4 linked regions of the Arabidopsis thaliana genome follow. The protein of the gene in region 1 interacts with the protein of each later gene in a pairwise test. Each region holds a gene or a part of one and is shown on either strand. Other genes may lie near its edges.

The links.
Region 2: the proteins of HEC3 (region 1) and PI interact in a two-hybrid assay, tested with the Arabidopsis thaliana proteins (one large-scale study listed by BioGRID).
Region 3: the proteins of HEC3 (region 1) and FBH4 interact in a two-hybrid assay, tested with the Arabidopsis thaliana proteins (one large-scale study listed by BioGRID).
Region 4: the proteins of HEC3 (region 1) and AT1G12890 interact in a two-hybrid assay, tested with the Arabidopsis thaliana proteins (one large-scale study listed by BioGRID).

The regions. Positions count from the first base shown.
Region 1 is NC_003076.8:3,024,480-3,030,330, forward strand, and holds HEC3 (basic helix-loop-helix (bHLH) DNA-binding superfamily protein), read right to left. Parts: upstream 2,636-5,851; 5' UTR 2,597-2,635; coding exon 1,922-2,596; 3' UTR 1,630-1,921; downstream 1-1,629. Other genes in the region: HAM2 (histone acetyltransferase of the MYST family 2), read right to left, coding at 1-232. UniProt on the Arabidopsis thaliana protein: Required for the female reproductive tract development and fertility.
Region 2 is NC_003076.8:6,826,236-6,833,520, reverse strand, and holds PI (K-box region and MADS-box transcription factor family protein), read right to left. Parts: upstream 4,618-7,285; 5' UTR 4,319-4,617; coding exon 4,064-4,318; intron 3,067-4,063; coding exon 3,005-3,066; intron 2,885-3,004; coding exon 2,785-2,884; coding exon of another isoform or gene 2,749-2,784; exon of another isoform or gene 2,713-2,748; coding exon 2,683-2,712; intron 2,595-2,682; coding exon 2,550-2,594; intron 2,448-2,549; coding exon 2,313-2,447; 3' UTR 2,006-2,312; downstream 1-2,005. Other genes in the region: BCB (blue-copper-binding protein), read right to left, coding at 6,113-6,531, 6,724-6,895. UniProt on the Arabidopsis thaliana protein: Probable transcription factor involved in the genetic control of flower development. Is required for normal development of petals and stamens in the wild-type flower.
Region 3 is NC_003071.7:17,609,385-17,616,067, reverse strand, and holds FBH4 (basic helix-loop-helix (bHLH) DNA-binding superfamily protein), read left to right. Parts: upstream 1-2,476; 5' UTR 2,477-2,904; coding exon 2,905-3,352; intron 3,353-3,616; coding exon 3,617-3,873; intron 3,874-3,979; coding exon 3,980-4,159; coding exon of another isoform or gene 4,160-4,177; exon of another isoform or gene 4,178-4,272; coding exon 4,273-4,338; intron 4,339-4,422; coding exon 4,423-4,554; downstream 4,555-6,683. Other genes in the region: AT2G42270 (U5 small nuclear ribonucleoprotein helicase), read right to left, coding at 5,220-6,683.
Region 4 is NC_003070.9:4,388,905-4,394,580, reverse strand, and holds AT1G12890 (Integrase-type DNA-binding superfamily protein), read right to left. Parts: upstream 2,911-5,676; 5' UTR 2,848-2,910; coding exon 2,188-2,847; downstream 1-2,187. Other genes in the region: GAPA-2 (glyceraldehyde 3-phosphate dehydrogenase A subunit 2), read left to right, coding at 172-339, 433-537, 731-1,035, 1,113-1,357, 1,445-1,947; NUDT12 (nudix hydrolase homolog 12), read right to left, coding at 3,535-3,717, 3,800-3,949, 4,041-4,124, 4,207-4,330, 4,475-4,545; AT1G12870 (F-box and associated interaction domains-containing protein), read left to right, coding at 5,471-5,676.

The sequences.
Region 1 (5,851 bases):
CCGGATGGTGTTTCCCGTCTCTCCACCGACACATCACACGAGTACCCACTTCTAGAGGAAGCATCCCCATTTTCCTCTTCTTCGACGGATCCGACTCTATAATAGCTTGATCAGGAGTTAAAGGAGGAGGAGGAGGATGAGACCCATCAACGCCGTTCGTAGCCGGAGGCTTTTGATTCGACGACGGTGGCGGTGCGTTGCCGTTGGTTTCTGTATTCGCTGACGATCCCATTTCTCGGTCGGGTCGGAGATTCCCGGGTGGGCTTTCTTTCTCATACGAGTAAGAGAACTAGAGAGAGAAAAACGGACACTTGAAATAAATCAGGCCCATTAGTAACTTTTCACATAATTGGGCCTATATTTATGGGCCGTTAAAAATATTGATATTTAATGGTGTGAAGTACATACATTTTCACCGGGATCACAGTTTATTCATAAAATTAGAAAGTTGTTTGATCATGTAAGAATTATCTCGAATCACATTGAAATATTTCTGTAGTAAAACGAATTAGATTTGAAAATATATGAATCATACCCATGGCTATTTAGTGACTATTAATGCATTGTTTGAGCTAAATAATTTGGTTAGACGTTAAGTTCTTGCAATTATCTCTAGGATGTGAATGAATGTATAACTATGTGGCAAAAAGAAAGAAAATATATTAAATGATTTCGTTAGCAAAATGGATATAGCTAGGTTTCCATGAATCTCACTGACATTTCATTGTGTCTTTATTAAAACCTATGAATGTGAGGAGACACAAAAGTCAGCGGAAGTATCCATGAGTGAAGTGAACAAGGAGCATAGGTTTCCTTGAATTAACCTCTCTGCTACTTTTCTGAGATTTTCTGACCAACAAGTGTGGAGCAAAGCTCTGGTGGTTTAATGCTTGTTTGTAGTCAAAGGTTTTCTTTTTATTATTGGGAAGGTAAAAAGAGATCTTGCAACTGTTTTAGTTGAACTTCTATTCATTAATTCGAAGACAAAACGAGCAAGTACATTTTCTCTGCACCATCCTCTTTATAATATGTCTCGATATATACTCTCTTTCTGGAGTAGAGTATCTGTATACCTTATCGGTTTGTTGTAATTTGAGATTACTTTATATTACAAAACATCATTTTATGGGATGATTGTCGTAATTTTCATTATGCTAAACGTTACTATAGCTAAACATTTTTCGTTAACATTTTTACAACAAGTATAATCGGATACGTTTAGTCTGTTAGACTTTTTAGTTTTCAGGTGATGTTTAATCGGATACTAACAAGTATAATCTAATAGACTAAACGTACGGATATTATTTTCATAACAACTTTTTTCTTTTTGGATTTTTCGTTGCTAGTTGTGAAGCTATATATTAAAAAAAAAGCCCTAAAGCTTATTGTAATTTAGGAATTCTTAAAGCTTATTCTAATCATAACAAAACGATTTTCAATATGTATAGGTATTAACGTTCAAAGTGAGGTATGTACGTAAAAAGATGAAAATGAAGCAATAGAGTACATTCATATTATATGCTCTAAAATATAGTACTTCACAAATATATGCGTTGTGTGTATACAAAGACAAAAGTCCACAGTAATGATAACACTATTTAAATAGGGTTCTTTGATGGCGTCATGGTTCTTATGCCCGAAAAATGCCCGGCCAAAACTTGTATACAACCAAACTCCAAATCAAGAACTTATTATTATATACGAAATGATAACATAATATTAAATATATGGTGGTACACAACTCAAGCTAACCGTTATGATTATTCCACAACCTTTTCACGGTCAACAACAATATATTATATATCCTAACAAACCCTTATTTCGTATCCATTTTTATTATATATAAACACTTTCCATAATTGCACCATTACTCACACATTATAGCATAATTTAGTTACTACTAATGGAAATGTCATCTTGTCTAGATTAATTCTCCTACTCCTCTTCCCCCACGGCCGAAACTTGGCGGTGGTGGCGGTGAAACCCATGACGTCGTCACCGCCTGAGAAGCTTGATCTTGCGGCGGCGGAGGAGTATATCCGGTATTATTATTGAGTAGCCGGATCTGCCGTTTCAAGAACTTGACATAGCGTATAGCTTCATCGAGCATTGAAGCCGTATCCATTTTAGTGCCACCTGGCACGAGTCTCTGAAGAATTCTGATCCTCTCACTGATTCTCTCACGGCGATGTCTAGCCGCCACACTCTGAGGGTCGTCGGAGATCCTCACGTTACGGCGTTTGGGTTTCTTGACGGTTGCTGGGTCGATGTCAACCGATTGCATGGCTGCGATCTTGTACATCATTTCCTTCATAGCACCGAGTTCCTCTAGAGGTTCTTCTTCGTCTTCGTCGTCTTCTTGATCTCCGGAGAGAAGAGTGGTGGTTGTGAGGGAAGAAGAGAGAGGAGGGAAATGAGAAGAAGAGAAAGGATTGAAGATATGGAGCTGTGTGTACTGGTCCATGGCCATACCGATTGGATCATTATTATGTTGATGATGATGATCATCATTCTTGTTGTTGTTGTTGCTGCTGTTGATGATGTTGTTCCAAGTGTAATTTTGGAAGAGAGATGGGTTCATATTATAATTATTCATAATTTTTGTTTGTTTGGTTCGTAAAAATTTTAATGCTTGAGGCGATGCTTATATGTATATATATATGTGTGTGTGTGAGCATATATATATATTAAAGGAAAAAAAGAAAGGTGATCATATGATGAGGGGTTAGGTTGGTGATGCAATTAAGGATTTTGGTTCGGAGAAAAAATAAAGAATAATTTTATTTATATGTATCTTTTCAATAAGTGGACGTCACTAGTCGTTACCAAAGAAAAAGATTAAATTGTATATAGTTGAATAAGAAGTTTTTTTATGCTCCGAAAATGTTTATAAACGTTGTAGCACTTTTGTATACATATAGTTGGCATAATCGCTTTTTTTTTTTTTTTTTTAATGAGCAGCTCCAGTTGACTAATGAGATAGTTTTGAGTTGGCTAGGGTTTCCCTCTCCCACATTGAGACTTGAATTTAGGGTATATCGAGAAAGTGGCTTTCACCAAAGTAATAAACTAATAACCACTAGCTATAAGAATGTGAATTACTTTATATGAACATGAGTTTCTCTTTGATTCACAAAAGATGTCACCACTTGTGTGCTCTTATTCTGACTTCTCAATTTACAATCCCTTTAATTATCTCCTTCTCTCTTCACAAAACCCATTCACTAAAATAGGAAATCTTGATAAATTTTCTCTCATTCTCTTGTCTCTTCACGAAATAGCACATTTTGTTGATCCTATACTCTTATCCCGATCAACGGTCGTGATTTTCTCTCTCCCCTCGATGGAGTCCAATATTGAATGTAAATTGTGTGTGAAACTCGCAATGTTATATATTATTATAAAACAAATGATCAACTTGCTTTTTTCCACAAAGCTATTCTATAACTTGCGACGTGATTAAAGGTTTATAAGGATAACAAACATCAAATCACTCGCATGGGGACACCTTAGCTTCTTCAACATTTGGGTGTTATCCATGATTGTCATTAATAAGAAAGACGTGTATCATCGTCGTGACTCGTTTATATAAGACGGTGGTGAATATATCATTTTCCATGAAGCAATTTCTGCTTTTTATTAACAAAGTTCACATCTACGTAACAACGTTCTTGTATACAAGTGTATAAAACAAACACAAATCCGTAAAATACACGAAATTTTATGAGACTTCAAAAGAGGCAAATTTATATACGTTGTTTCGATCCGTTTATACAAAAATCAGACGGTTCTGATTTAATGTGACAAGTTTCTTATGTCATATGCCTCAACACAAAAGCAATGTATAAATACACATGTATATGTACATATATGAGATATAAGCGTATATTTTGCACATATGTTATGATTTGGTCTGCATTATAATCATACAAATTGCGCATGCAGGCTGCAATCATGCATTATAGGGTTACTTCTTTGGTATTAATCCATTGTTCACTGTATATTATATTCTTATTAAATCCACCCAACTGCCAACTACATGTATGAACATCTACTTATACACACACAAGTTTTGGAAATTAATTTGATTCGATATAAGTATACACTATATAGTTTTCGCATTTATAGCGGTTTAAAATGAAAACCGCAATTAAAAGAGTAACTGTGTATTTAATATAATAGCTAGCATTCGATCATATTATTAAAGTATATAACAGTCATGAGCAAGACTTATAATATAATATAGTTTAGTTAAAAGAAGTTTTATTTTGCCATGTATTTTATATAATACAAATTCGGATGGATTGGAGCAATGAACAATTTTTTTATTGCCTGATCATAAATTTAGAGTGTTTTTTAATTAAGTCTATTAATATTTTTCATACATGTGAAAGTTAAATGATTCATTTTGGACAGCTAGTTTCTAAATTTCCACAAAAACATGTAAAATAATAGAATATATAAGACACATAAATTTAATTTACTTCTTAAATCTATGATTTCATTTAGAATACATATAGTATTTTATTATTACTTTTTCCTTTTTGGTTGTATGTACATTTCTGCAACTGTGATGTGAAATATCATAATGGTTTATAAAGCTTGTATAATATGTTTCGAAATGTATACCGAGTTGTAATAAACAAAAATTGAATGCAATTGATTTACTAAATCATGTTTTCTTTTAAGCAAATTATCACTAGCTTATCTATTATGATATGGTTTAAACATGTGACAGCTCAAGCGGCCCCCATTTCGTCTGTGTATAAAGTGTAACCGTAAACCCTAACTAGATGAATCTAGTGTAAATGTATATAGTACATATACACGTGAGTGGGTGAAATAACTATGCAACATTTTCCGATGAAGATTGAATCATAAAATCTGACAATCTCCATTATTTTCATCCAAATTATCGCGTACATAAAAAAGCATTAAATAACTATATATATATATAGGCCATACATATATAACTATTTTTTTCAGCAATTGTGCTTCTTCCTCCTTTTTATTAATAGCGATACAATCTTCCGTCTTTGTGCGTTACGATTCCCAAAGAACCACACCCTCATTTCCTCAGAGTCTGGTCTCTTACAGCGACTTCTCTTTTTCTTTCTTTTTTGGATTTCCTCTTTCTGCTTCCACCATGGAGAAGAACAAACAAAGAAAAACTCAGTGTTGTTTCTTTCCAAATTTGAACACTTTGTAATCTAGTGATATCACTTTATCTTACTCCAATTTCACCGGTTAGGTTTGGTCATTAAAAATGATCAAACCAAAAAAGAAAATGTATAAGTAATCACCAGTTCACCACTTGGCTTAATTCATCCAAAAATAAAATTTCAAATTGGCTATATATCAAGTTAAGAAAAATAAAGCTAGACGAAAAAGGTAGGATATATATGCGTTATTGTATTGATTTCTATAACTACGAGGGTAGATTATGTGTTATAATATTAGTAATGATGCTAAGTTTTTTAAAATGGAGTAGCAAAAAAAAAAAACATGTTTATTTTTTCTCTTTCGCGAGAGGATCTAAAAAGTCTACAAAAAAGTGATTACAAGGCATGGGAAGCTGCAGTGAAGAAAAGTGAAGAAGTCTCTTGTTTGGTCCGAAAGTGTTAGTGTTATGGAAAACTCTTTAATGAGTTTTTCACTTTATTTTTCTTTCTCTTTTGTTTTTGAGGGGAAGAATATTACACATATGAAATTGACTTCGAGGGTTTTCATTTTCTTGGATTATTGCAGGTACAAACGTATTTCCAGTATCCATGCATAGACGCATAATGCCGTATTGTAGCTACATACACGAGAAGTAGACAGTAGACTCATTTAACAAAAAACCAAATAG
Region 2 (7,285 bases), 3.8 Mb from region 1:
CTTACGTTTCTTGTGATTGTTTCTTTCGTATTGTGCAAGATTGCAAGTAATCTCAGACATTAATTGATATATTTTTCTATGGTTTATGTATTAAATGGTCAAATTATGCAAAAATGTTGAGGTGATTATGAATTTTGCGAAAGATGTGACATGACTACTCAAATATTCGCATACGGTTATAAACCCAAACTTTTTTTTTGACAAATGAATGAAAGATTAATACCACAAAAAGAAATAAAACAATAGTTGACCGTTGACAAGTTTTAAAGGGAGGATGAGGATGCCACGTAGGATAAATGCTGGAACACATAAGGATATTTAAAGATATTTTGTCTTTTAAGGATTAAAAGATTTGTTTCCACGGCCGTATTACGTGTCATCGTGTCAGCGGGTAATTGGGACGACCTTATCACCAACTAAATTGTTTTCTTCAACATCAATCTCAAAATAGAAGTTTTCTTGCAACTTGTAAGCTAAAATTGACTGTTTTTAACTTTTAATGATTTAATTGTTTTCTTAGTCCAATATTTGTAAAACTTTCCTGTTGCATGATTTTTCTTCTCAACTTTTAATATCTCCTCTTCTCATTCTAATAAATGGGATTGTCATCTATATAATTTATATGGTTATAACTAATCTATGTCAATGTCCTAACTCCCAACCCAAGTATTGGTTTAAAGGTTCTTCTGTAACTTTTACCTAAGAAGAAATGTATCAAAACTTAAGAATATAATTTGAATAGAATTGTGAAAAGTGTAAAATCAATTGGGTGCGGTGCAATGGACAGAAGGTTCATATACCAAGTGGCAATATTATCTTCGCAGATCAACTTGCTTCAACAGATATTGAGCAATGTGCGGCTGCATGCCCCCACTACAGCCCCACAAGTGCCCATGGTTTTCTAGAAAAAAAAAAACTCATTGTATGAAAATAAATCTTAAATAGAGAGAGCGAGTGCTACACGCCTACACGAAAACGAATTATTTGATTTTTTCTTTCTGTTGTTTCTTTGTTTTCATTGTTATACTCATAATAACAGAAAACGAAATGTTCGGCGATTCATGATTCGCTTGCAGCAAGTGATTTGGTTCAGAAAGTGATTGGGAAAGCAAATCAACTTGTCTTTATTTTATTTTGAGAGAACAAAAAGTTAGAAAGTTGTTGTCCAATTGGACCCTATGGGTTTATCCATTCATTATACATTAGTTGGCGGATAAGGGTTTGTCAGGTTATTAATGTTTATCATCACACATATTCATAATTTTATTTTTATTTTGTTAAAACTGTATTTTTAAAATTATTCATCATCATTTTGTTAGGGGATTAACCAAAATATTTCCTCTCCAATCAGTCATTTGGAGGTTAAGAGGTAGCCACCTGACCAAGTTACCATCACTATTTTGGCGATTTTCTGTGTCACCAATTTATCACGAAAAGCCATGGTAAATTTTCAAACCTCTACACGTCTCATATATCAATTAATTAGGAGCAATGTTTTGAGGATGAATTTTCTCTGTCACCATCAATATTGAAATTGTTTTTTTTTTTTTTTTTTTTTGCTAAAGAATATTGAAATTTTATGAAAGCAAGATTAAACTGCAGAATATTGGTTGAGTGATTACAAAGTTGTCTTTGTACATGTTAACTAAAACGTATTTATGGGTCAACAATGGATAAGGGCCCATATATCGTTAAATATAGTCACTAGTCAGAACCCAATAACCTACATAAACACCATTCTCTTTAGCCTTAAAGAAGAGCGGCCAAGGCTGATTTCTACATTTTTTAGATTTTAGTTTCTTAAGAAAAAAGGTTGTTAATACAGGCTTTTGAAGGGGGAAGATATAAAGTTCAACCACATTTTTTTAATTTTTACGACCATAACCTCTTTGTATGAAGACATATTTATTCAAAGTAAAATTATTGAAGGGTATCCAGACAAAATATTGTATAACATTTTACGTTTACCTTTTTATTTTACTCCAATTTTTTTTCTTTTTTTTTTCTCTCCAAATTAGTTAGAGAACAATTCTAACTTTTAGAAAGAGAAAAGGATCTTCTTCTTTATCACAAATAGCTTATCACAGAATAATAAGTTTCACACAGATCAATTAGTTCGAAACGTTTAAGCACACAACACAACCAATACATAGAGGTCATAAGCAAACAACACACATATAGCTTAAGTAAAAAGTCTGATAGCGAGTATATATGTTGCTCGAGATTAAGACACACAGATTGATAAAGACAAACTAAAGACCACGATATTATAGATAGGAGTTGATCAGGATGAGATTATAAAATCTCGATGATCAATCGATGACCAAAGACATAATCTTTTCCTGAAGATTTGGCTGAATCGGTTGCACTCTATATCCAAACTGCCCATCATGATCTCTCATCATCATTCCTCTTGCGTTGCTTGCTATAGCCATCTCCTGTTGTTGCTGCAATTTCCAAAAACCATATCTTTACATAAACATACTAATAGTTTCAAACCAAATCATTATTAAAACTTATAAATGCATGAAGATTCATTATATGTATACCAGCTGGAAAGTGAGTTGCCGTTGCTCCTCCGCCATCATCTTCTCCTGTTAAGAAAGAATGATGCAACCATTAATACATATTTCAATCCGAAAGCTAAGAAGTAGAGTACTATAAGATTAGTTATATGCTCACATTTCTCCTCTTTGATATAAGGATCTCCATCTGTGCCAAGCAGACCAAATAAGAAGTTAAATATATTCATGTGTATGAATGTATGTAGAAATGTATACATACCTGGTGGTCTCGGACTTTGTCGAGGCCATGTTCAATGGCGTGCTCGACAGCCATCAGATTTTTCAAGTTGAGAGACTGTATATCTTCTCCCTTCAAATGCCTGTAGTCACAATTTCCATGAACTTCTCAATTTGATATTTCAACATTATTATAATCAAATGTTTTATATATATACTATACTAGGGTAAAGATATGGCAATGAAGGGTGAAGAATAATGACCTGAGCTCCAGTTGTAAGCTATCATTCTCTTTCTTGATCCTATCAATCTCATTGCTAAGGTTCTGGAGACAAAAAATATGTATTAGATGAGCAATAAAGGTTTTAAGAATTTAGATCAAACAAAAAAAATACTTAGTAATCTGTACAAACTAAACATAAATATAGATATACAAAGAAGCAATCCATGACAAGTCTCTCTATGTTCATGTTTCATGCAAAGCATATAACACACACACACACACTGACACACATATATGTATATATATTGATATTAGTATATGTAAAAGCATACACAGATATACATGCACAAATACTACTAGGCAGTGACTTAAATGGTATAAAAGCCTCTGTATGCTTATTACCCTATAGAGATATATCTCATTTGTGAGAACTAAACCTACATTTGTCAGAGCTAATTAATAATACATATAATATTTGCATCAAAATTTAATTTAAAAAGGATACTCAAAACTCAAAAGCAATTTTCAAGTTTTCAATTAGTTTTGAAAGCCAGAAACGTAAAATCAGTGTACTAATCAGAAATTCTCATTCCCAGATACATATCACATCCCAGATTTTTCTCTCAATTAATAACTCCATAAACTACGGATCTGATTCGCATAAGATTTGGTCTTGATGGTTTCAAAACACAGTTGGTTAGATATACTCTAGATTATACAAATTAAGCAGGAACAAAAGAAAAGAATAACTTCCATGTTTTGTGGCTCCATGTCTTGTTGAGTACAAGAAAATCAATAAAGACGCATGTTAGGCTACATACACAAAGAAACCTTTGTAGATCTGCATCTAGGGTTAGAGTATTTTTCTTTCTCTTTGACATATTTTAGGAAAAGAAAATTAAATAACCAATTTCATGATATCTAGCTCAGAATATATGTTTTTGAGACAAAACACTATAGTAGATCTGCATCTAGGGTTAAAGATTCAAGGGTCTTTTGACATGTTTTTGGTAAAGAAATTGAAAACTTATTACATGATTTTGGCCATGGAATATTTTTGAGACAAAGAAACTTTAGATTAAAAAGAGAGCAAAATTACCTCATGCTTAGCATCCCATAGTTTCTTGCCAGATAACTTCTGGTATTGGTCCAACATAGCACCAAGATCCATGGAAGGACAACAGTAATCAATCATCTTACCATTACTTGCAAAGATTATGAGGGCAACTTTTGCATCACAAAGAACTGTGATCTCTTTAGCCTTCTTCACCAATCCATTCCTCCTCTTTGAGAACGTCACCACTCTGTTGTTTGCGTTCTCTATCCTCTTTATCTCGATCTTTCCTCTACCCATCTTTCTCTCTCTATCTCTTTCTCAATTTTAGGGTTTGCTATGAAATTGTTAAGATATGGAGGAGAGGATATGTGGTTTATATGAAGAACAAGAAGAGGAGCATTGGTTTTAAAGTAACATTGATGAGATAGAGAGAGAAATGTTTTGATTAATCTTGAGGTGAAGAGAGACTTTGACAGTTTGGGATTGAAAACAAAGCTACTTTCTTGAGGGCACAGTCATGGAAGGCTTGCTTTTGGTTCGCTTATTACACATAGCCAACTCTATTTTCTCTCCTTTTTTTACAGTACCAAGAAGATAAAAAAAAAACTTGAAGTAACGTAATAAAATAAAGTAAAAACAAACTTAGTGATTTTGCTTAATGAACACTCTTTGCATGTGATTGATGTTTATTTTCTTTCATTTGATTTGATCATCTCAGTCTCTCTCGTGATAGGTTAAAGTGTCGTTTAATTAACCTCTGGTCTCTTCCGTACTATGTTTTCTTCAATGAACTGTGTAGAGAAAACAAATTCTAGATATCTGGAAAGATAAAATTCTTCATATGAAATGTGGTCAAACTTTTATTTAGCTTACTCGTGTATGTATATAATTAATTAAATTTAAATTTGAGAGGCAAACATGATAATACCATAATTTCTTATCCAACCACATATATCATCAATTAATTACTTTGGGAAACTATCTTATTATGTCATCAATTATATAAAACGTGAAATAAGATAGTGTCCCAATGATTTTGCAACTAAATCATTTTGCAAATAAATTTCCCATTTTGTCTATCTCGAAAACTAACCATTAAATCAAATGAAAGCAACGAGTTTTGCAACTTTGTAGATTTAAAACCAAAAATCTCTGTAAAGAATTGCTTTTATTTTTACAGGTTCTTACTTTGGCAAAACCAAGACTTGCTATTTCAAGAACTCTATGTCATATATAGGTCTTATCGAATATCGTAGCTACACTAAAAAATCAAACATATTAAATTATTGAAAGTTGAAGATATCACATTGACAAATGAAGTAAATAAAATAAAGTTAAATTCAGATGGTTTAGAAAAAGGAAAAAAAAAAAAGAAAAAGGAGCAGTGTAATTACCAAAGACCTTGGTATAACCATTAGACTTTATCATGCTTACATTGTTATGGGGAAAATGTCTTTGGTTGTTGAAAACAAAACAAGTTTATGGTTTTCTTGATTCACGTCGATCAGACACGTGTCAATTTATTGTGGAATTTTGTGGTCTTATGTTTTGTACTTAGTACGGGCATACTTTTTGGCATTTTCTCGATTATCAAACTATAAAGCCAGAGATTAAAAATCTCCACACACAAAAAAAAAAAAAAAAAAAAAAAAAAGTTGTGAATTCAGGTGAGAAACGTATCCACTGAAACAAAAATACCATATTGTTGGTATATTGAATTAGTAGATAACCTATGTCTTTTTAATATTATTCTAACTTCGGTTCACAATCAGGTAATGTTTACTCGTTGATTGAAAATATTGAGAAGGCAAATTTTGTCTAATTATACATGAAAACTAGACAAATTGGATGAAGAAGATGACTAATTTTCATGAAATATGGTAATATATAGTAGTAATCTCAATGATATTGAAACCCACTCTTTATTTTGCAACCGAATAATCATATATTGAAACTCAATACTAATCACAAGTATAAGACGTTTATAATGACTTGAAAACAAGTCCTTATTCTCACAAATAATCAAATACATGACTATTTAAATAAGGAGAGTAAGGTAAAACAAATACATAACTAGGTTTCGAGTGTGACTCAAAAGAGAGCAACAACAGCAGAAACAAAAGCGACCAGAAAAGTAGCACCACCTAATGAGGAAGCGGCATTTCCAGCTGGAGTAGTGGTTCCGCTAGAGCCTGAAGGTGTTGTGGTCCCACCCGCAGTGGGAGGAGTGGTTCCTCCAGTACTTGGGGTTGATCCAGGTGCTGGGGTAGCACCGGCACCAGGAGTAGCACCTCCAGTTGCACCAGCAGCAACTACAGTGATGGAAAGTTTTTGACCAAAACGACAATGGTCACCGACGGTGCAGATAAAGTATTGTGGTCCAGTGGTGTTTAGCATAATTTTGACCGGAGGAACGGTCATGTGGCTAATGGGTTTCTCTTTCTCACAGTTTTCAAATGCAGCTTCTGATACAACTGCCACATCATGCCTCCCAGCAGCGAAATCAAATTCTGTAATAAGAATATCAACATCAGTCGGTGGAAACTCAATTAATCCCTTTTTTAGCTAAAATATGTTCATAAGAATATAGAAAGAAAGACAGAACAACACCGACATGATCCATGCACGATCCCATAACTATGACTGTTATAAGAACAAGAAAAACAAAGACATATTTCAGCTATAAGAACAATAAAACTCACCGAGCTCGTCGCCTACACGGAAAGTTTTACCGGTAGCCCAAGTAGTATAGAACTCGGGGTCCATAGGTCTCGTCCATTCCGTATCATCACCAACATCGTAGTCCTCCGCGAAGACAACAACGGCAGCGAAAACCAAAACAAGAAACGTAACCGTTTTGAAAACTCCGGCCATTATGTTATGTGTTGAAGAACTCAGGTCACCCCCTTTTCTTTTCTTGGTCGAGAACTATATATGTCGTCTCTTAAAAGATAGTAAATGACCCCTTTTGATTTTTGTGTTTGTTGTGGTTTCAAAAGTCTTGCAAGAGAGACTTATATTTATAGGACAATTAAAGAGAGGCTCTCAAGGAGTCATACGCAAGATACGGGAAGACGCGTTACGTGTTGTGTCGTTGAACAAATCCAAATTTAGATATTATCACTTGTGGTCAATTTTGTCTGCTAAGTTTTTTTTGTCCACAATTGTTATTTTTAGCGCGTAAAGACATTGTACATTTGTAAATTTAGATCAAGTAAAAAACGTGACTAATTACTTTTTGGGTAATGATTATAAAATTTAGTG
Region 3 (6,683 bases), on another chromosome or scaffold:
GAAGCCCCCTTTTTGAGCTTGTTGACATTATAAAAGCCAAAGCTGGACCACGATTCCCCACTTCTATCAATGTAATCTATTTTTTCTTAAGAACATAAAAAGATTTTTAAATAAATTGATGGGAATCGTTTTGTTTTTTATATTTATACTACTATCAAACAGTATAAAAAACAAAATGTACACAACAACATTGAGAAACTAATGGGGTCTCACGTGTCCATGTTCCCATCCACATAGCCACGGACGGGATTTGCTTTCTAATTTTCCACATTTCTTTAGGCCAAACCTTTATAAATGGCACTTGATATTTGCTTCTTTAATTTCAATCTCTTTTTTTTTTTCTTTTTTTTTTGGGTGTTTTTCCCGTTGTATCCATTGCATTTAGAAGAAAATTGTTGAGACCACTGATTTTCTTCGAAAAAGAACTTCAGCAATGAAGAGTTTGTTTTATGCACGTCTTTACAAAAAAAAAAAAAACTAAGAGATTATGACCTGCATTGAAGTGAGAGCACTTGAGAAAACTTGTGTGTGATGATTTGGAAAATAGTTGTTATAGATAACTAATCATATATTGGTATATATGGATTCCTTTGAAGAAATACTGGTTTGATTTGAACAAAAACATTTGTTACGTATGATTAAACATACTTTTCATTGCACGGTGATACGAAATTTTGATTCAGTTGAATTAGATCAATGTAGTTTTGAGTTATATTTTTTATGTTTGCCCATTCGTTAGTGATATAAAACAAAGTATCATCAGTATATAGCTAGTTTCGAGATAGTATGTACAACTTTTAAATATTAATTACCTATGCTTAAATAGTAATAGTATTATGTATGTGCATGTGCTTTGTACATACAATTTTGTCTTCTTGTTGATTAATTATTAAACAGCTCGAAGTTTTAAGACTATGTAGCTTAGCCTATGTCAATGTCATCAATCTATATGCAATATATATAGAGCCTCAGGCACATAAACCGTAGTCCCCATATAAAAAAGGGAATGAAACAGCTAATAACTCCATAGAGAATAAATTCACATTCAAAGCAAATTCACCACCCCAATCTTCTCAATGGTTCGGTTTCTTTTTTCAATTCTTACATTGTACTAAAAGCTAAAAATTCAGACTGATACGATACGAATAGGTTTTTGAAAATATAAAAATTAATCAATTTCCATTAAAGGGCTGAATAGCTAAAAACTCCATAGAGAACAAGTCGCTTTATTGGATTTAGATTTTAAAAAGACGGCGCTCGTGAATTATTAAAGTTTAAACTAAGATAAGATTTAAAGAGATTTAGAGGAGACGTAATCTGGTGTATATCGTTCACATAGAGTCACGTCACTGTATAATCCATCGACCACTAAGGTTTTAGAGTTTAGTTTCAAATCTTACTTTTTCATGCAGGTGTACCGTATGTCACACAGATTATAGTAGTCGCCAACTTACGTTCCCAATGGGTGATAACGGCGTCAACGTCCTCCGTCACGATCGTGTCGTAAGCTGTACACTGTATAGGTTCCGTGAACCTTAAAATCGGATTTGGAAAGCTACGTACGTACGTAAATATTGGTTAAAAAGTTCAAACAGTTTTGATCTCTCTTTTATTACAAACAAACTGTACTTCCGACAATTTTCTTTCTTTCTATTTCAAGTACGTTTTCGTGTCTAACTATATTAACATCTAACTTCTGACTTTTATACTCTGATGGGACAATCTTTAATTCTTAAATTCTAAGTTGTACCATGCGAATGGATATTAGATTTTGTCAGTACAATTGCTGACTATGAATGAAGTACTCTAACATCATTATTGGTTCCTGAATAATGAGTACTTAAACAAAACAAATTTGAAGTAACGTAACCATGACATATTAGATCCATGTCCCCTAAAACGTATTAAAATTATTTCCTTACGTCGTTAAATTTCGAATCTAGTGTTAAATTGTTACATTGGTTGTTAAACTACCGACCCAATAAAAAAAAAGAAACTAATATTTATGATTGGTGCATCTTGTTGTAAATTGTAATCGTATGGCCTACCAGCGATTTCATTGTCCCCAACATACAGATATTTTTGTTCGTGTGTTATAAATTAGGGTAGAAACATCACATATTTTACAGAGACAAAGAAAAAAACAAGAATCGTAATAAAATGATATTATGGATACATGTAGATTATAAGATGAGAAATAATAATTTGTCACGGGTCCATCAGTATACTCGTCAAAATTGATTAGGTAGGTAATTTACTTCACATGCTCTTCCTGTATACAAGTATAAAGTATGTATTTTCATCTAAAATCTACTCTTTTCTCAATTACATTTTATATAGAAAAATTCATATTCTTAAGAAATAGTAGTAAAATTGTTCTTGAAAAAAAATATGAAAAGGCATTTTCCGTGACTCAGCCTCACAGGCGGCTTAAAACGACGTCTTTTTCAATTTTAATAAATTTTTGGTAAAAAAGCTTTTGGATCCGCCGCTATCTTCAGCAATTAAAGTTGGACGCAGAAACTCAGAAGCAAAAAGACGATAAATATTCATCATCACCTTCATCTCTCTCTTCCTCTCATCAGACTTCACCGTTCTTCTTTCTCTCTTCTTCATCTTCAGACGAAACCTCCTTTACTTCCCCTTCAAGGTTTTATATTTCCCAAATCCTACACCTGCTCACATCTCAAGCTCAAGTTTTGTTTTCCCGGGAAAAGTGACACAAACAAGAACTTAACAAGGGAGAAGAAAAAGCTTATATTCATATCAACGGTTGACGTTGGAAAGCTATTAAGATTTGGTTTTCTACAAATTTGTTCTTCCTGAAACGTCACGAGACAGAGCTTACAAGAAGAGAAAACAGAGGAAATTTCGTTGCATTTTTTTTACATATTGATTCGATTAATGGATTCAAATAATCATCTCTACGACCCGAATCCCACCGGGTCGGGTCTTCTTCGTTTTAGATCAGCTCCGAGCTCTGTTCTCGCCGCTTTTGTTGACGACGACAAGATTGGTTTCGACTCCGATAGGTTGCTTTCAAGATTCGTGACCTCTAATGGCGTTAACGGAGATCTGGGTTCACCTAAATTCGAGGATAAGTCTCCGGTTTCGTTAACGAACACCTCTGTTTCATACGCCGCCACTCTGCCGCCACCGCCGCAGCTTGAGCCGTCGAGTTTTCTGGGTTTGCCGCCGCATTACCCGAGGCAGAGTAAAGGGATAATGAACTCGGTTGGTTTGGATCAGTTTCTCGGTATCAATAATCATCACACCAAACCAGTTGAATCTAATCTTCTCCGTCAAAGCAGCTCTCCAGCCGGAATGTTTACTAATCTCTCTGACCAAAACGGTACCGTTTTGCTCTCTGCTACAAAGTTTTTCCCCCTTTTTTTAGTCTGAAATATTTTTTTCATTTATAACAGAAGTGTTTTTGGTACTTCTTGATTCAACTTTTTTGAATGTTTTAACACTTGCTTCAAGATTTTTGAATGTTTTACGTTCCTTGAGAATAATTTTAAGACAAGATCTGATTTGATTTTGTCAACCATAGAGTTAAAGCACTTTGGACTCAACAAATCTAATAAGTGTTTACTATATACTTACAAATTTGCAGGTTATGGTTCAATGAGGAATTTGATGAATTACGAAGAAGATGAAGAGAGTCCATCTAATTCCAATGGATTAAGACGCCATTGCAGTCTCTCTTCAAGGCCACCTTCTTCACTTGGAATGCTTTCTCAAATACCTGAAATCGCACCCGAAACTAATTTTCCATATAGCCATTGGAATGATCCATCCAGCTTTATTGATAACTTATCCTCACTTAAAAGAGAAGCCGAGGACGATGGAAAATTGTTTCTCGGAGCTCAGGTAACTCGGTTATCTAACCGGTTTGTTTTGGTTATTGATCAGTAGCTGAAAGTGGAGTTGATTTCTTGGAGTGGTTTCTAATGATGTTTTTGATGGGTTTCTACAGAACGGAGAGTCCGGGAATCGTATGCAGTTACTGTCGCATCATTTGAGCCTACCAAAGTCATCATCGACAGCCTCGGACATGGTTTCAGTGGATAAGTATCTTCAGCTACAAGATTCTGTTCCTTGTAAAATCAGAGCCAAACGTGGTTGCGCTACACATCCTCGAAGCATCGCTGAACGGGTAACTTCACCTAGTTAAGGCCATCTTTACATATATCAATGGAAGTCCATTTGAAGCAGAATCTAGTTTGTTTTCAGAAAGCCTTTCCTAAGAAATCTTGTCAATTGTGTCAGGTAAGAAGAACGCGGATAAGCGAGCGAATGAGGAAGTTACAAGAGCTTGTTCCTAACATGGACAAGGTACAGTTTTCAGGAACTTCCTTGTAATGACTTTTGATCATAAACAAATTGTTAAATGATGTTGTTTTCTTTATGTTTTAACAGCAAACCAACACTTCGGATATGTTGGATTTAGCTGTGGATTACATCAAAGATTTACAAAGACAGTATAAGGTAAAGTTCCTGATCATTGTGGAAAAAAAACAAAGGGGCCTGTTTAGTCTTCTGTTGAATTGATTTAGTCTTCTGTTGGTTTTACACAGATTTTAAACGACAACAGAGCTAACTGTAAGTGTATGAACAAGGAGAAGAAGTCAATATAGGGCGCAACAAAGTGTGTAGTAGATAGGACTAAAAAGCAGGGAGAAGGACAAGAAAGAAACAATGTCATGTCTGAATATTTTTTAGCCGAAACAGACCAAATTGTCTATGTAAGCTCTCGAGAAAAGCATCTGCTTCCAACAAAATTCTAAGTAATAAAATAGTACTCGATTTGTTCTTATTTCATTATTACAATGCAGAATCTACTAATCAAATGTTGTACTACAAAAGGTAAGATCAACTACGGTAGCTAAATGCGAAAATTATGACCAGAAGAACAAAGAAAGACTCGAAAACTAAGCAGAAAACATAAATTATTCTTCCATGTGATCTGCAGCGTCAGAATCTTTGATATCACCAGTAAGACTACTCCTGGTCACAACCAAAGTAAGAATCACACATGAAGTAGAGTGTATACGACTTCTCTCCTGGTTCAGTTGGTACTGCAAACTCCAGCTACGATGCAGAATCTAGTAAGCAAATGTTGATATTACAAAAGGTAAGATCGACCACAGTAGCTAAATGCGAAAATTATGACCAGAAAACAAAGAAAGACGCGAAAACTAACCAGAAAACATAAATCATTCTTCCATGTGATCTGCGGCATCAGAATCTTTGACATCAACAGTGAAAGAATACTCCTGGTCACAACCCAAGTAAGAATCGCACATGAAGTAGAGTGTATACGACTTCTCTCCTGTTTCAGTTGGTACTGCAAACTCCAGCTTCACCTGCGCCTTCCGTTGCAGGGAGATTCTCTTGATGGCCATCAACTGGTTCGTCTTGGCTTCTCCAACGACTAGCCACCAACCTTCTTCTTTAGTCTTAGGATATCTTGGCGCGTCCACAGGTCCCACCTCGGTCCTTCCCTCCATGTCTCTCTCCAGTAATACCTGCAATGTGATATCTTTTCCAGGGCTTACCTCGTTACTTCCCACAATCTCATATGTAAGGTCAATGTTGGGGAAGCGGTTGCAGAATCTGGCAATGTCAAGAAGCTGAGCGTCTGACATTTGGAGAAGCTCTTGGCGTTTGTCATCTTCCATTTCCACAAGATCAAATATGGTTTCAATGTTATTCCCCGGATTCTCATGGCACCTTTTGGCTAAGTCCTTTGTGAAGTGAGGAAGCTGCAGAAGCATGGAGTCTCGATCCCACATGCCTTGAGTCACCATCTGGCTTACTTCCATAGCTAAAAGAGCAAGATTCAGACAGCCATTGCTCGATATCACATCGACCATTGCTTGAAGAAGCCTTGTTGCTGATAAAAGGACCTCACACTGATCCATTACAAGGTTCCCGCTGATTTTTTGCCTTGAGAAATGCGCCTGAAGAAGTGCGCTTGTCTTCACACGAGGGTCTGTGCATCTTGGGTTTTGAAAAGAGAACCTCTGGTGATTGATGAGTCTCCGAACTGCGTCCTCTTCACCAGGACGTATAGGAATCAAGTCATACTCCGAAGCTGAAGTCAAGATCTCAAGAAGACCCTTCATCTTGGTCTTGGAAGCCAAGAGAGAACTGAATCGCTCAATGGTGGTGTAATTTATGTAGTAATATGACGCAATCATACCAAGATTGAGAGGAGAGAGATCCAACTCATTGTCTATTTCAATGCATTTACTCACTTCAAGATCAGACAAAGTGTTTTCAACGAGCTCTGAGAGGTGATCAGATAAATGTCTGTGGCTCACTCCCAGGAGATTGTAGTAGTTAGGGTTCTGGGGAAGCCTCCTGTACATGAAGCTCCAGGTAAGATAATCCACAGCATCTTGTTTGTTCTCTATAACTCTAGCAACTACTTCTGCATTGAAATTATCATGCAAGAAATGTTGAAGATGACTCTCAACCGGAAGAGCTTCATACAAAAATTTCTTGTAATACTCTTTACGTGGTGCATGACAGAAGATCACACACTTCCCAGCGTCGTCAAGCAGAGGTCGGCTACCACGCCCCATCATTTGGAGCAGATTAGAGATGGGGTAATCCGAATGAGAATTTTCCCGTCCATCGTAGAAATGTGTTCCCATTACAACAACCAAATGTGC
Region 4 (5,676 bases), on another chromosome or scaffold:
CATCTGCAGCATAGAGATGTCAGAAAAGCTATGTCGTCGAGTCACTAGATCAAATGTGACCACATGATGGAGAAGCCCATCCACTTGTGAAGCCCAAGTGAGAAAATCAAAAATATGTGTGAATCATAGAAAACGTGAAGAGGGAAGAGAGATAAAACCACAACCATACAAATGAATGACAAAGCTATCCAGAATCTCATCTTCTTTGCCTCCAACTCAGCAATTCATATTTTCCTATATTACAACTCTCTGCCTCTTCTGCTTACATCATACAACAAGCTTCTCTCTCTGGTAGCCATGGCTTCGGCTACTTTCTCTGTGGCCAAACCATCTCTTCAGGTTTTGTTTCATCTTCCTAACCACATTATCTGATTGCCCTTCACACAAGTTTTATCATCATCTCATAAATACTCTCATGTTTTACTTTTTCAGGGTTTTTCTGAGTTCTCAGGACTTCGAAACTCCTCTGCTCTTCCCTTTGCCAAGAGATCTTCTTCCGATGAGTTTGTTTCCTTCGTCAGTTTCCAAACTTCTGCAGTGAGTTCCTTTTTCACCCACTCCTCTCTATTGCTCCTGTGTTATATATCTTATGGTGCAATCTTGTAAACTCAAGAGCTGTTTCTTGTGTCTAATGCCACCATTGTAGATCTATCCATGATGAACAAGGCTGCATGGCATGATCAGCCATGATTAACCATATACGTTTTTTTTTTCTGTCTCTGTGTTGTAGATGAGAAGCAATGGTGGATACAGGAAAGGGGTGACCGAGGCCAAGATAAAGGTAGCCATCAATGGGTTCGGTAGGATTGGTAGGAACTTCTTGAGGTGTTGGCATGGTCGTAAGGACTCTCCTCTTGATGTCGTTGTCATTAACGACACTGGTGGTGTTAAACAAGCATCACATCTCCTCAAATACGACTCAACTCTTGGAATCTTTGACGCTGATGTCAAACCTTCAGGAGACTCAGCTCTCTCTGTTGATGGAAAGATCATCAAGATTGTATCTGATCGTAACCCATCTAATCTCCCCTGGGGGTAAGTTAAAACAACACTTCTCATATCATTTGAATTGAATCAACCCAGTTAGATCTAAACCTGGTGATGATGTTTAGGGAACTAGGCATTGACTTAGTTATCGAAGGAACCGGAGTGTTTGTTGACAGAGACGGTGCTGGGAAGCACCTTCAGGCTGGAGCCAAGAAGGTTCTTATCACTGCACCTGGAAAAGGTGACATCCCAACTTATGTCGTTGGTGTCAATGCTGAACTTTACAGCCATGAAGATACGATCATCAGCAATGCGTCTTGTACTACTAACTGTCTCGCTCCATTCGTCAAGGTTCTTGACCAGAAATTTGGTAAGCGTCTCATTGAAAGTCAAATGTTGCTATGTTGCAATCTTGTAAAAATCTGAGTAATATTGTGTTGTGTGTTAAACTTGTTAGGGATCATAAAGGGTACAATGACAACTACTCACTCATACACTGGTGACCAAAGGTTGTTAGATGCGAGCCACCGTGATCTAAGGAGAGCAAGAGCAGCAGCTTTGAACATTGTTCCAACATCTACAGGAGCAGCCAAAGCTGTGGCTCTTGTGCTTCCTAACCTCAAAGGAAAACTTAACGGAATTGCATTGCGTGTGCCAACTCCAAACGTTTCAGTGGTTGACTTAGTCGTGCAAGTCTCCAAGAAAACTTTTGCTGAAGAAGTCAATGCTGCTTTCAGAGATGCAGCTGAGAAAGAGCTTAAAGGTATCCTTGACGTCTGTGATGAGCCTCTTGTCTCTGTTGACTTCAGGTGCTCTGATGTATCCTCCACTATTGATTCTTCCCTCACAATGGTTATGGGAGATGATATGGTTAAAGTGATTGCTTGGTATGACAATGAATGGGGTTACTCACAGAGAGTCGTTGATTTGGCTGACATTGTTGCCAATAACTGGAAGTGAAGACTCAACAACCTCTTGATGTCTGCTCCATTATTTTTTACTGTTACATGATTCGGAATGTATAATTGTAGTTCCTGAGTTTATTATGTATTTGTGCTCTATAATTTATAGTAATAAACTTGATTCAAACATATTACATCCTCTGCTTAATACACAACTCTGGTTTGGGAATGCATTTGACACTAAAGAAAGATACAATACTTTTTATATTACATAAATTGAAGGATCGGTAATACAAGCTCACATAAGAAACTGTGGAGCATCGTCGTTGACATCTTTGAGAAAACTCTGAAGATAATTCCCAATGTAGTCATACTCAAAGCAGAGAGGTTCGTCGCTGAGAACTGAGCCAAACTTCATATGGTCTGCATTGTCATGTTCACCGACTTTGTCCTGATGACCGAATAAACTGTTTGACATATCATTAGGTAAAGAAATCTCTTTGCTTTGGCCAACATGATCACCATCATTATAACAATGTGAGAAAGTGTTAGTGAGATTGGTAGAAGACTCTTGTTTTTGAGAAAAAGAAGAAGAGATAGGATCAGCAACAAAATGGTTGTTTTCAAAAGGCTGATCTTGAAGAAGACAGAGACTAGAAGATCCCCAAGTCATATGAGGCTCCAAAGACTGTTGTGGATGTCTTTCTAAAGAGGTGTTTTCAGTGTAGAAGAAGTTTGTTGTAGCTAGAGAGCCGCTGATGGATCGAGCAGCAACGTCATATGCAAAAGCAGCTTCTTCGGCTGTATCAAACGTTCCAAGCCAATGTCTTTCTTTAGTAAAAGGGTTTCTGATTTCAGCTGCATATCTTCCCCATGGACGTCTCCTCACTCCAAGGTACTTCCCTTCTTGTAACTTCTTCTCTTCTTTGCTTTTTCTCTTGTTACTTGATTTCAACATGTTCACAATATTCAGAGATCAATGTTTCTCTCTCTTTAAGTCTCTTGAGCTTTGAGGTTCCTTATGCTGCTATATAAACTCTATATTGAGTAAGAAGAGCAAAAGAGTGTGTGAACTTGATTGATGCCTTTTTGGATTTGGCATTAAATTTAAGGAAACTGTTGGGAGTTCAAAAATTTAACTCCAAAGACTTATTTCTCCTTCGTAAACTGTGTCAGCAGAAACAAGGAAGTGTTTCATATTTTCTCTATTTTTGTCCTTTTGCTTAATATTTTCCACACTTTAGTCTGTGAGGTGATTCATATTAAGGAATGTATGGAGCAAAGCCAAGTTGTGACAAGGACATTGTCATTATAGACTCAGACAAAAACTGTACAAATGTCAAGAAACCTAACTAAACATGTGACATAAGCTTAGGGATTTGGATTCTTAAGTGTATTCAGTTGATTTTGAAGTCAAGCCTTAAGCATTGATTTGTGTGTGATTAGGTAATTTCTTCTATGTCCTTTGTCTTTTTGCATTTGGTGTCCCAATTGCATATAAAGACAACTCTATCTTTATCACTTCAAACAGACAGATATCAAGATTCAAGACAGATGATTTGAGATTATATCATGTCACATGTGTTGCAGTCACTTTACTTCTCATTTTTTCAATTTGTTTACGTTAGCTAAAGAATATGAAAAACTAGTTAACTACAAAACAGTACCAAGGATCTATTTGACTCTCCTCCTCTAGCTTTGAAGAATCATGCACTGTCTCTTCCTCTGTTCTCAATCTTCTTTCATCTTCCATTACTCTCAAAAACTCTTCAAGTGCTCTCTGCATCCACTCATACCGACAAAGCTCCAACGCTTCTTTAACAGTCAACTGCACATTTTCGAGTAATCTCAGAGTTAAAACATTGTACTTACTTATATGAATAACTACACATTTGAATCTTAAGCTTTACCCATCTTCGTTCACGATTCTTTCGCTCTGGCCAATCCTCGAGTTCTTCGGTAACTTTTAATGCAAACATATATCCTTTACATCCACCTAAACATTCATCCTCCACTGTGCTACTTTTGCTTCTAAATTCCCAAACTCCTAAAGGAAGTTCCTATAAACAAAAACATGACCAAAACACATCTAATTCAAAAAACTTTAAAATAGCTTTCTTAGTGTTTTGTTTAATAAAGGTGTAAACTTACTCTAAGTATTCCTTTAACTCCTGCTTCTTCAATGGCTTCACGAGAAGCAGCTTCAAGAACAGTCTCATCATCTTCCCATCCTCCCTGATAATAATATACACAACAAATTAACATGAGCAATTACAAATGATAGTACAGAGGATGATTTTTCAATTCAAAAAAAGACCTTTGGGAAGACAAGATCATGACGATTAGGAGATGAAACCATAAGAACTTCAAGTTTGTTTACAAAGTCAACACCTGAGTCTTCTTCAGTTTCGTCAGCTTTCATCAGCCTATAAGGAATGCATCTGTTCATAATGTATAGAGAAACAAACAACAAGAAAATCAACAATTTTGTTTTCTGATTTTTGGGGTTTCTTGAAAATTTTCAAGATTTGCAAGAAACAAAAAAACAAAACAAAATGATTTTTTGTTGTGTAAGTTGTTGGTACCCAGAAACGAGACGGAAGTTGTTGTCGTAACGTTGACGATCTCGTCCTGTCCGAGAAGAAAGAACCGACATTTGATGAATCTGCCAACACAAAAAAAATCAAAAGGGATTGAGACAACAGAAACAGAGAATGCTACTTTCTTGAAAAGCCCTGTTCTTGTTTGTATGAAACATGTTGATCATAGCCTAGCTTTTATGACGAATCCATATTCTTGTTTTGAAAATAAACAAATTTTCCAGAATTAACGAATCTCAAAAGTCACAAAAAAATAAAATCGTTTATATGAATTTTTTTGTTTGTTAAATAACTTGCTATTTTTGCGGAGAAGAATGAGGAGTTGTACCAACGAGCATTCACTGCTAACTATCACCTGTCTCTCTATATAATCAGTTTTAATATTTATACATGAAAATAAATAAATTATTTTTGTTAGAGCTCAAAAACAAGAAGAACCTTAAGAACGCAAATTCGAAGCAAGTCACTAAAAGGATCTGATTCTGTATTTGACTTATTACTGTTTTATCTCACGAGTATTCTCCACTATAGAGAAGAACTATTCGATAATTGATTCTATAAAACTTATCTTGAGACGTGTTTTAAACAAGACTGCTGAAAACCGAATTCATATAGGTTCAAACTTTCAATTCGTTTCTAGTGTCTTTTTTTTTTTTTTTTGTTGGGTCTTGGTTTTAGTTTTAGCCAATCAGAATTGTTTGTTAGCAAATCTTGTATTTTTTTCGTTTTTGCTAAAATCACTCAAATTAGAGAATAAATAAATTGTTTCTGAAAAAAATGTATTTCCATTTCCTTAGTCGAAATTGGCTTTTATTTCCTTTTCTATTATTTTAATTTAAACATAAATTTTGTGGGATGATAAACTTCCTTTTTCATAACCGGCTAATCCTTATCAATCCTTAACAGAGTAGAATTTGGAGATAAGTGTGTGTATAAAAAGACAAAACCAATTCACTCGTATCAATAAGAAGAAGAAAAACAATGGTCATGGATGAAGAAAAGCAAGCGATTGTATCATCATCATCATCATCACAAAGAAAGAGAAGATACAAGAAGCTAATGATTGCATCATCATCATTACCAGACGATGTCGTAGAAGAAATCTTCTTGAAACTTCCGGTCAAAGCCCTAATGAGATTTAAGTCTCTCTCAAAACAATGGAGATCGACGCTCGAGTCTTGCTATTT